3 linked regions of the Rattus norvegicus genome follow. The protein of the gene in region 2 purifies or fractionates together with the protein of the main gene of each other region. This does not show direct contact. Links are inferred from orthologs where the notes say so. Each region holds a gene or a part of one and is shown on either strand. Other genes may lie near its edges.

What was found. The genes of interacting proteins can lie anywhere in the genome.
Region 1: the proteins of Prr3 (region 2) and Rbms1 purify together in Homo sapiens (co-immunoprecipitation; 3 studies listed by BioGRID and IntAct, with this or other methods). This does not show direct contact. The link is inferred for Rattus norvegicus from reciprocal best matches to the Homo sapiens genes PRR3 and RBMS1.
Region 3: the proteins of Prr3 (region 2) and Dhx37 purify together in Homo sapiens (co-immunoprecipitation; 3 studies listed by BioGRID and IntAct, with this or other methods). This does not show direct contact. The link is inferred for Rattus norvegicus from reciprocal best matches to the Homo sapiens genes PRR3 and DHX37.

The regions. Positions count from the first base shown.
Region 1 is NC_086021.1:65,826,147-65,830,380, forward strand, and holds the start of Rbms1 (RNA-binding motif, single-stranded-interacting protein 1), read right to left. Parts: upstream 2,868-4,234; 5' UTR 2,429-2,867; coding exon 2,354-2,428; intron 1-2,353.
Region 2 is NC_086038.1:2,802,876-2,805,272, reverse strand, and holds the end of Prr3 (proline-rich protein 3), read right to left. Parts: exon of another isoform or gene 1,849-2,397; coding exon 1,742-1,848; 3' UTR 599-1,741; downstream 1-598.
Region 3 is NC_086030.1:36,854,891-36,859,004, forward strand, and holds the start of Dhx37 (probable ATP-dependent RNA helicase DHX37), read left to right. Parts: upstream 1-1,247; 5' UTR 1,248-1,329; coding exon 1,330-1,432; intron 1,433-3,738; coding exon 3,739-3,908; intron 3,909-4,114. UniProt on the Homo sapiens protein: ATP-binding RNA helicase that plays a role in maturation of the small ribosomal subunit in ribosome biogenesis. Required for the release of the U3 snoRNP from pre-ribosomal particles.

The DNA.
Region 1 (4,234 bases), on a different chromosome or scaffold from region 2:
TGTCATTAAACTAGAAGTCAAATAAAGTCTCCATATTTCTTAATGACTTCCACTACCGCCATCTTACCAATGACTACAGGAAGGAGAAAAGGGGTGTGTGTCCCTGACTCCGACTCTGATATCTAGAATCTACATCTCCGTGTTTTTGGAGACACTCCTTTCTGAACTAATTATGACACCTTTACAATGGGGAGTTTAGATTTAATTACCAAACTTTTAAAACACCACATTATATAGGTCAAGCGAGGACGCACCTTTCTCCTGAAACAAAGGGATTCAGAGTAATAAGATTTCAGATTTCATAGGAGAAACAGCAAAGTATGTTTTGAGGCTGTCATTTACTGTAACACAAATCAATATTAAATGCTTTATGCAGGAAGCACACTTTCAGAAAATGGACCCTAAAGCTTCCTGGGATCCAGCCCTAATTACTCCAGCAGGCTTTGCCGTTTGTCCCTCTCTTCAATTATTTACAGGGCAAAAAAAAATTTATATATATAATAATAATAAAAGCCAAATGGCATTGCATTAGCTATATTAAATGCTATGCAGTTGGTTTCTAACTTACTAATGGTACATAAAAATTACTAAGGTAAATGTTTCATAGGAACATGGCTCCTCCCCTTCTTCACCTGAATGTGTGCATTTATTATTCATGGAGTTAAGTGTTGAATAGGCTTGTCCTTCAGGCAACCAAATGCTGCATAATTATTTAAATGAATGCATCAAATATATAACACAGCTAAAAGGTGGCGCATAGATCACGTTACGAAATTTCTTCAAACAGCACACATACACAGAGAGAGAGACAGAGAGAGAGACAGAGACAGACACACACACACAGAGAGAGAGAGAGAGAGAGAGAGAGAGAGAGAGAGAGAGAGAGAGAGAGAGAGAGAGAGAATCTCCCTCAAGTTCCTAAAACAATGGCATGTCAACCACATGGAGATGAACGGTCCTGCTCTAGCAGTTGCGAACACCTTACAGATCTCCAGTGAGCGAAGGTAAATGGGGAATTGGGAGAGCAGCAAGGAGGCCTTTAGGTGCTGGGAAATTTCTGGCCTCTGCTGACAAGTCCTTTTTACGTGGACAAACACTGAGCTATGTTGTAGGGCATCATGGACCACACACATTGAGAGAAAGAGAAGCTTTCAAGGTTGAAGCATAGATTCTTAGTACCAGGTCAGCAATGTCCATCTGCCAGCAAACAATCCCCTAAAGAAAGTTCAAACACTGCATCCATACCTGATTCTTTTGTGATCTAGAAGGACATACTAGGTGTGTTAACAGCTGAAGAAGGCTGCTGTACCCACCATCCCATTCTGCCTTTCCTAATTGTGGCGTATGATTCCAGGGCGGTAAGGTGCACTTTTCATGAACCCTAATAATTTTTTAAAATTAGTTTATGAGACATCAAACTGTTGTAAAATTAGCATAGGCCCATTAACAAAGTGCCCAGGGTCCCTGGAAAGCCAGGCACAATTTGCCTGCCTACATGTCATCAGCGGTCCTTACCCAAGACTGTGCCACTTTTGAGCAGAATTGGAAATCACTCTCTGGTACACACTCAAGGCGGTTTAAAAACAACAACCAAAAAGGAAAAGTAAATACAAAGTCACTTCTTTTTATGCATCGAAATCTGTCCATTGTCCCTCCCATGTAAAAGCTACAGAGAAGATTAAAGGGGATATCAATGAATGCAGAGTGAACTTTGGCCACTTCTCTACCCAAAACACCAGCGTAAAAGTGGAAATCAGTAACCAGGTGAAGTGCCACACCGCACAAAGATCAGAGGCGAGGGGCGGGCGCACAGGGCCCAAGGCGGGGAGGAGACCGTCCCGGCCCCCTCCAGCCACCTTCGTCGCGCGCGCGGGAGCTGGAGGGTAGTCCTGTGGGGCGGGGCGGGGCGGGGCGGGGCGGGGGGCTGCGCGCCACTCAAGGGGACCCCACAGTTACTGCCCGCAGGGCGAGGCCCTGGAGAGGTCTGAAAGCCGTGCCGCCAGCAGGTCCTGCCGCGGGCCCCAAGCATCGGCCGGCCGCCAGCCCGGGCTGGACGAGGGGGAGCCGTGAGGCCGCGAGACCCTTTCCTCCTCGCCGGCCAGGAAGGGGCCAGCGGTCCTTTCCTGTCTAGTCGCTCCCCCCCGCTACTCTCTGTAACCCGATCGCCGCGATCGGCTCCCCGGGAAGCCGCCGCCCCGCGCACAGCCTGGCTCTGCCCAGGCCAGCGCTATAGTTAGCAACCCCAGCACTTGTGCCCAGAGGCGGGAGGGTCGCCGTGCGCCCCTCCCCAGCCCGGCCCGGCGCGCGCCTCCGCGGTCCCCTCCTTTGGCGACCCTTCCCCGCGCCTCCTTACCTTGGCTTGCAGATACTGGGGGTAGTAATAGGTGGCGTACTGAGGGTACATCTGTTGTTTCCACACTTTGCCCATGAAGCTGGAAGGAAGCCTGCCGTGCAGGGTCGAAGACACTTTAGGTTTTCCAAGTCCCGATCTCTTTCTCCTGCCTCTCCCTTTCCGGAGGCGGCGGCGGCGGCTGCCTCGGCGGCTGCTGCTGCCACTGCTCCACCTCCCAACCGGGACCAGACGACGTCCTCCTCCTCCACCTCCTCCTCCTCCTTCTGCTCTTCCTCCTCCTCCTTCTCCTCCTCCTCCTTCCAGGCAGACAGAAAGACACTGCAGAGCGCAGAGGACACCCCGGACAGGGCGCTCCCAAGGAGTTTCCTCTGGGAGCCCGACTGTGCCCGAGCTGCCAAGGGCTGGCGCTCTGGCCGCGCTGCGCTCCGGGAGCAGGCTGAGCCCAGCTACGAGTGATCAATACAAGTGGAAAGTACGGCGGCGGCGGCGGCTGCGCTTGGTGCCAGGCGGCATCTGGGGTGGGTGCGCCCGACAGCGAGAGGGGAGAGGGGCTGGCTGCCGAGGCCGCGGGGGAAGGGCGGCCGGGGGCGGGGCTTGGGCGCCGCCGAGCCCGGGACCCGCTGGAGGTGAGGGCTGACTTTCCACCACTCCTCACCTCCTAGGCTCTCAAGAGGACGCACAGAATCTCTGGGAGCGGCGATCGCTTTGTGTCCAGGGTGGGAATAGGTTTGGTAGACCCTGCTTAATAACTGCCGAGAAGGCACCTCTAGCTTTCCTGAGTTTTTAATCTTCGTAAGTGGGGGAGGGAGGGAGGGAAAGAGGGAAAGAGGAAATCTGATTAATCTCTCACTTCCCCCAAATTCCCGGACCGGTGATTTTTTTTTTCTCCCCACAAAGGAAAATGCTTTAATGTCCAATCACAAAGCTGGAGCCAGGACACCTGGGTTCTGTTCCACCCACACACCAGGTCACAGCACTAATTTTCTAAGTGACCTTGGGAAGGTTAGTGTCCTTCGGTTTGGTTTTCCCAGATGTGAAACCATGCTCTTTGCGTGTACACACACACACACAAACACACACACACACACAAACACACACACACACACAAACACACACACACACACACACACACCAAACTAGCGGGTCCTTCTAAGGGAAAGATGCCAAAAAGAGGAAGAATGTTATTAGAGGACACAATATAGACATCAGTTTCTCCCTGCCTTTTCTAATGCTGCCAGACAGTCTGTCAACTCCCACTCAGGAGCAAGGAAACTCCCTGAGTTTGGAATATTTTAAGGCCATTTTGAAAGTCACGCTGGCATATTGTTGCAGTGTGTTTCAGTGACACATAAAATCAATCTCCCTTTCTGCTTCTCTCCGTCTCCTAATTGTCTCAGCTCTAGACAGCCCCAGACGAGCAGCGGTTCAGTTCACTACATAACTGGATATAATTTAATGGAGTTAATTGGTCCCTGAAGTTGCCTGCAGAAGACTTTTATATTCTAGCTAAAAAAGAGACAATATGAGATGTACAATAGGATGGGGAAGAGAATGTCCCTAAGTTGATGTCCTTGCCCGGCTGATAAAAGACTAGGAGAAAAACATTTATTGAATCGAACTCGGTTGCTTTGTTTTGTTTTCTTGTTTTTTGTTTGTTTGGTTTTGGTTTTTGGTCACTTCTCAGTGCAAGGTAAATCCAGTCAAACAGGAATGCATGATTTTCTTCAGTAATCAGATCTTTATATGATTATATTTTAAGACAGGCTTTAAAAATGATAAACACAGTGGGCTGGAACCCTTATCTTTATATGATTTAGACAAGTTTCTGGGCTGTACATTTTTTCTTGAAAAAAATAAAATAAAATAGTTGTAGTTCATGTG
Region 2 (2,397 bases):
GCAAAATATTTACAAACATAAAGTAGTAAATAAATCTAAAAAAGTATTTTAGAAATCTCCATTTCTAAGTCTGTCCCCCATGGTCAACCTTTTTTTTTTTTTTTTTTTTTTTGGTTCTTTTTTTCGGAGCTGGGGACCGAACCCAGGGCCTTGCACTTCCTAGGTAAGCGCTCTACCACTGAGCTAAATCCCCAGCCCCATGGTCAACCTTTTGACAGTGAGACAAAGTCATTACAAAGATATCACCTACAGCGTTCATGTGAATTACACGTTTTGATTTACAAGGGAAAAATATCACAAAATAAGTGGTAAGTGAGCCACTCTTCAGATTCTGTGTTCAGACAGAAAACAAAAATACAAAAAACCTCAGCTCCAGGCACTGTTGCCAGGCACTGCCAAGACTCCTCCCCTCACTGCTCCTCCTGTGCATCCTTCAGACCTCAGCTCTGTGTCACTGATCTGCTCTCCGCACAGCAACACTTCCGGAGTGTACCTTTGCTTCTGATGAACTAAGGGAATGAATGGACTCCCTAGAAGCCTCAGAGAAGGCTTCCCTGCACCTGCAGAGAAGACTGGAACAGAGAAATGAGAGAAGACACCGGTTTCCACTGTGTTTATTACTAATATAAAAAAAATTAAAAAGAAAACAAAATCATTCTTAGTTCTAGCGCTCTCTCTCCTCTTGCACACATACCTCCTGACCCACTTCCTTAGGGCCTGTTCAAAACCCAACATGTTCACTGCTGTTTTCACAGAAAACACCCAGTGTGAGGGAAGTAAGAGGGTCAGAGAGGTGACAGACAGTACTGTTCAGGTTCCATCCAGAGACAGGCGGAGATTCACAAAGTCAAATCAAAGGGCTGGTGGCCTCACAATGACAGCCTAACTAAAACGGGTCAGGCAGGAGCTGTGTTGGGAGGCCCGTCGGAAGCTTTCCAAGACATCACTGGCCTGTGTCAGACCCAGAATACCAGAGGGCACAGAACAGGAGGGCACGACGGGGAGGCAGTCTGAAGATGTCTCACATCCTCCCGTTTTGGGAGGTAGGTGAACTCTAGAGGGCACCAAGAGCCTCACTTGATTTGGCAGAAAAACTTACTCTAGTGTTGGGAAGTCACAAAAAACGCCACAGACACCGAGGAAGGCTACAAGGGGCGTACAGTTTCACAAAGCACAGTGACCACAGGCCTTAGCGGTGGGGCTCATGCTACGGACAGAAACTAGGACGTCCAAAAGCAGGTGGAGGCTGTTTAGGGAGCAAGTCTGTACCAGTCACTCAAACTCAACCTCAAGCCGGAAAACCTAGTGCACTTCCTGGCAGCTGCAAACACTGGGGTTTTACGTGAAAGGACTTAAAACAAGCAGCTAGAGGATAAGAGACTGCTCCAGGGTTCTTGGGAACTGAGGGCAATACTGAGGGAGAGGTGGACAAATGCACAAGAAACAGCACCAAAGGTTTCCTGTGGAGCAGTCATTTGGCAGAGGGGAAGATCCAGGAGGCAGTGGAAGGTAGCAAGATGGGGTCCTGAAGGTCTCTACAGCCTGGATCAGAGGACAGTGTGTACTGTGCACCAGTGACAGTCACAGCTCTGGACCCCAAATGGGAGAGATGATGAAAGGGGTGGACGTGCCACTGCCTGAAGGTGACAGAAGAGCCTTCAAGTAGCTATAATGGAGCCACAGAGAATGCATGGCCACTAGGTCAGAGGGCTCCTTCCAGCCTGGGTGGGAAGGCACAGTCTTACAGAGGAGGTCCGTTGACGCCTGGATGGTAGAAGGCACAATGGTCTTCATATCGACAGTGGCCCTTCTTAGAAAAGTGTCGGCAGACAGGGCGGTCAGATTTGTCTGTGAATAAGGGAAAACAGCAGCTTAAAACCTTTTGAGAGCTGGGTGAGGAGGCTCACACCATGGCCCCAGCCTTCAGAGGCCGAGACAGAAGACACAAGTTTGAGGTCAACTTGTCCACCCACCCCTAATAAAACACAACTCTTCCAACTTGATGCCCTAAAAATCCTAAGAAAGAAAATGTATAGAATGCAGAGAGAAAGCCAAGGTTTCTACCATATACTGTTTACAAGTATTTTGGCTTTTTCTTTCTACTTTTGGTGCTAGGGATAGAACACAGGGCCTCAGGCATGATGCACACCTTGTTCAATCACTGAGCAAGACTCCCAGATCACCAAGTATTTTGGAAAGACAGTCTTTCTGAGGGAAGAAAAGTGTTCAGGGCTATTGGTACCTCTTGAGGCAGCTAAGAAGCTGGTAGTTCAGCGCTAGAGGACTCCTCAATACAGGTAAGGCCCTGCATTAATTCTCAGTGCTGCTCAGTGAGAGCCTAAAGGAGAAGATTCCCAGGCCTGCTGGTATACAGGCCACGGCACAAACATAACAAAG
Region 3 (4,114 bases), on a different chromosome or scaffold from region 2:
GGTTATCAGAAAACACAGATGAACAAAATAAGGAGAGAGGAGACGTTTGTATTAGGGGCAGAGTTATAGTCTATATGTTTAGTCAAATTCATACTAAAGATGTATACTTATGTGAGTGCTTTCCCTGCATACCATGGTAATGTATTATGTGCACCATAAGTGTAGCCAGTGCTCTCAAAGGTCAGAAGGTACTGGCATTAGCAATGGTGGTGAGCCACTGTGTGGGGGCTAGGAACTAAAACTGGGTCCTCTGTAAGAGCAGCAAGTACTCTTAACCACTGAGCCATCTCTCCAGCCCCCTATTATTTATTTATTTATTTTGGCGTTTTGGAGACAGGGTTTCTCTTGTGTGCCCCTGGCTATCCTGGAACTTGCTCTGTAGACCAGGTTAGCTTTGAACCCAGAGATCCACCTACTAGCCCCTATTTTTGAGACAAGGTCTTACTATGTCGCTATGGCTTATCTGGAAATATGTATGTATGTTTGGTTTTTTTTTTTTTTTCCGAGCTGGGGACCGAACCCAGGGCCTTGCGCTTGCTAGGCAAGCGCTCTACCACTGAGCTAACCCCAACCCTGTATGTATGTTTTTATGTTTAGTCAAATTCATACATACATACATACACCAGGCTGGTCACAAACTCACAGAAATCTACTTACCTCTGCCTTCTGAGTGGTGGCTGGGATTAAAAGCAAGTGCTCCCACGTCTGGTGACTTACTGTATTTTGACATGTGTATGTGTGAGAGTGTGTATTTTTTTTTTTTCTTTTCTATTTTTCGGAGCTGGGGACCGAACCCAGGGCCTTGCGCTTGCTAGGCAAGCGCTCTACCACTGAGCTAAATCCCCAACCCCGAGAGTGTGTATTTTTTACGTATGTATTTGAGTATGCACATTAGCATGGTTCCCAAGGAGGCCAGAAGATGGATCACCTGGAACGGTTGTGAACTGCCATGTGGGTGTTAGGAATCGAAGCCAGATTCTCTGCAAGAGCAGCCATTGCTCTTAACAGCTCAGCCATCTCTTCAGCCCCAAATTAATATTATTATACAGTTCAAAAGTCCGATATCTGGCAGGAAGACAAGTTTGATCATAAACTCAAGCTCTTCCCGCAGGTCTAGGCCCAGCCCCCTTATTTACATAGGGACCTCCCACAGACAGAGTACGCCCGCCTCTTCCGCTAGGACCTCCCTTTCCGGCAGGTCGGGCCTCCAGTCCCGCCCCTCAGCTGCTGAAGTGCGGCTCTTGCGCATGCGCAACCCGGAAGTCTCGCAGCTTGGTTCAGGTTCCCAGAGAGTTTGTCTGAGTGAGCCACGCGCGTGGCGAAGGAACCATGGGGAAGCTGCGACGCCGCTACAACGTGAAGGGGCGGCTGCAGGCGGAATCCCGGCCCGCCAAGGGTCCTGAAGCGCCTCCCGTGCGGCTGGAGCTGGAGGGTGAGAAGCTGGGGAGGGTCCCTGGAGTGGGAGCCGGGTTCCACATGACCCGAACAGGGGGCGTGACAGCCTCTCTCCCGGGGCATGGGGCTACTGCTCAGAATATGACGCGCAGATTAGTTCTTTGCATCCATTCCCAGGCCGATCATAATCATCTCCTTTCCAGAGACCCGTAAATGTGGTGCTTCAGACCCGGCCCGTTAGCCGTGCGCTAGGCTAATTGCAATGCTTGGGTACTGGGGCGCCTGTGAGCACAGGGGACACTTATTCTGGTCTCTGGGAGTAGTGACAGCGGAAGTGGAGATGGAAAACCCTGACACTCCAGGCATGCCCTGCTTACCCGGAGAAGACCAGCACAGAGAAACGATAAAATGTGTAGAATATGGCAGGCACAGGGGTGAGTACCAGAGAGATAGAGCCGAAGATGGGAGAGAGTGCTGTGCTGGGAAAGACCCACCATGGATAGTAAAATGCCAAAACCTTCAAGAAACCTGGGTGAAGATGAGAGGGAAACCCAGGGGCTAGGGGACATCGGAGTTTGCGGGTTGTAGAAATGATTGAGATTTTAAAAGTGAGGAGTGGCTGACTATGATAGCTCAGTGCTGTAACCCCAGGATTAGGAGTTTTCTGTAAGAGGATGCCTACAAGTTTGAGGGAAACCTGGGCTACATAGTGAGAACAAACAAGCAAAAAGGCTGTGTGTCTGAGAGAGATTTGTAAACCTGGCTGTAGGGAGAGATGTGCACCTGAGGGCAGTTGGGCTACATAACCTGTACCAGGCTCCCTTAGGGCTACAAAGCAGGACATTACCTTATCCCCAACTTCTTTTTTTTTTTAAGATTTTTTTGTTTGTTTATATGAGTATACTATAGCTTTCTTCAGACACACCAGAAGATTGTGAGCCACCATGTGGTTGCTGGGAATTGAACTCAGGACCTCTGGAAGAGCAGTCAGTGCTCTTAACCTCTGAGCCATCTCTCCAGCCTAATCCCCAGCTTCTAACAGAGGAAGTGAGGAACTATAGAAGACTTAGCAGAAGAGGGACAGATGAAGGATAATGTGTAACCATGACATATCGGTTGGGCCAATAAGGAAAAGCAACACAGGTTGAAGGAAGATGGGGTAGGAAGCTAGAGTTGGTGCTTGGAGCAGGGAGATAGTGTTTGGATTGTGGTGTATTCCAAAAGAGAGCTGGCCTGAGTTGCTGACTGAGACTGTGTGTAAGCACAAAGGTGATGTGCATGGGCATTGGTCAGGCCGCTGGAGAAGGCAGATGTGGGGTGGGAGTACTTGAGGCTCTGCAGATGTTCGAAGGAAAACTAGAAGCTATTGACTCAGCTGTTCAAGACAGGCAAGTTGGGGGGTGTGGGGGGCATAAACACTTTTGTATATAGATGGCACTTACTTACGTCTGATGAGTGAAGTTTTGGCTCGCTGAGAAGGGTCCAGCCCTGAAGGAGAGGGGAGTGGAGGAGAGTTGGGAGGAGGGTGCTGACCCAGATCTCGTGAAAAGGACTCACGCTTCATCTCAGATGCTCCCTGGGGTCCTGAAGGGAGGAAGGTATTGGTTGGAATAGTAGAAGGTATGGTCAGGATCAGGCTGGTTCGGGAGGAGAGTAGAGCTAAAGCGATCTGATCCAGTAGAATCAAGTATGTCTTCCCGGCTCCTGAGACCTAGACTTGGGGCATGTCACTTCACATACTTCTGCCTTTGTTTTCATATCTATAAAATGGGACGGAACTTTTCCTCGGTGGAATCATAACAGCCTCTGGCACAGCCCACAGGTCAGTAGCCAGGTTGTGAGCATTCTTCAGGGTTCCACGTATCCCAGGCTGGCCTGTGTGTGTAGTCAGGGGGCGATTGAACTTCTAGCCCTATTGCTGTCTCTCTCAAATGAGTACAGTCCCGAACTGCCATACTTGGTTTTATGCTGGGGTTGGAACCCAGGGCTCTCAGCATGGTAGCCAGGTTCCCTCCCACCTGAGCTCCATCCCCAGCCCCTCCTGGTAATGCTAACAGTTGTGACCCACAGACCCTCGTTTCGCACTCAGAGATTGGGAGGTGCTGTGGGCCACCTGCAGGAGGTGGTGACCTCCTCTGATGTTTGTCATGAGTGAGCCTCTAGGACACCCTGTGACAACTTCTTTTTTTTTTTTTTTTTTTTTTTTTTGGTTCTTTTTTTCGGAGCTGGGGACCGAACCCAGGGCCTTGCGCTTCCTAGGCAAGCGCTGTACCACTGAGCTAAATCCCCAACCCCCACCCTGTGACTTCTTGCCCCCTGGTGAGACCGTGGCTGTCTTTTCAGACAAGGATGTGTTGAAAGGGGTAGATGCCAGCAACGCCCTGGTGCTGCCTGGGAGGAAGAAGAAGAAGACCAAGGCGCCTCCTCCATCCAAGAAAGAGAGGAAGCCCCTGACGAAGAAGGAGAGGAAGGTGCTACAGAAGGTCTTAGAACAGAAGGAGAAGAAGAGCCAGGTATGCCTCGTGTGGCTGGTCTGCCCCAGCTCTCCAGGTCAGCGGGCTGGAGGGGAGTCTTTCCCTCCATGTAATTTCTGCAGCAAGATTGTCTAGTGGGACTCGCTGAAAGGAGGGGAGTGTTTCTTACCTGTCCAGTGACACGGTAGCCACTAGCTACATGTGGCATCCCATCGAGCCTCTGAGTGTGATGATGGCCTGATGGA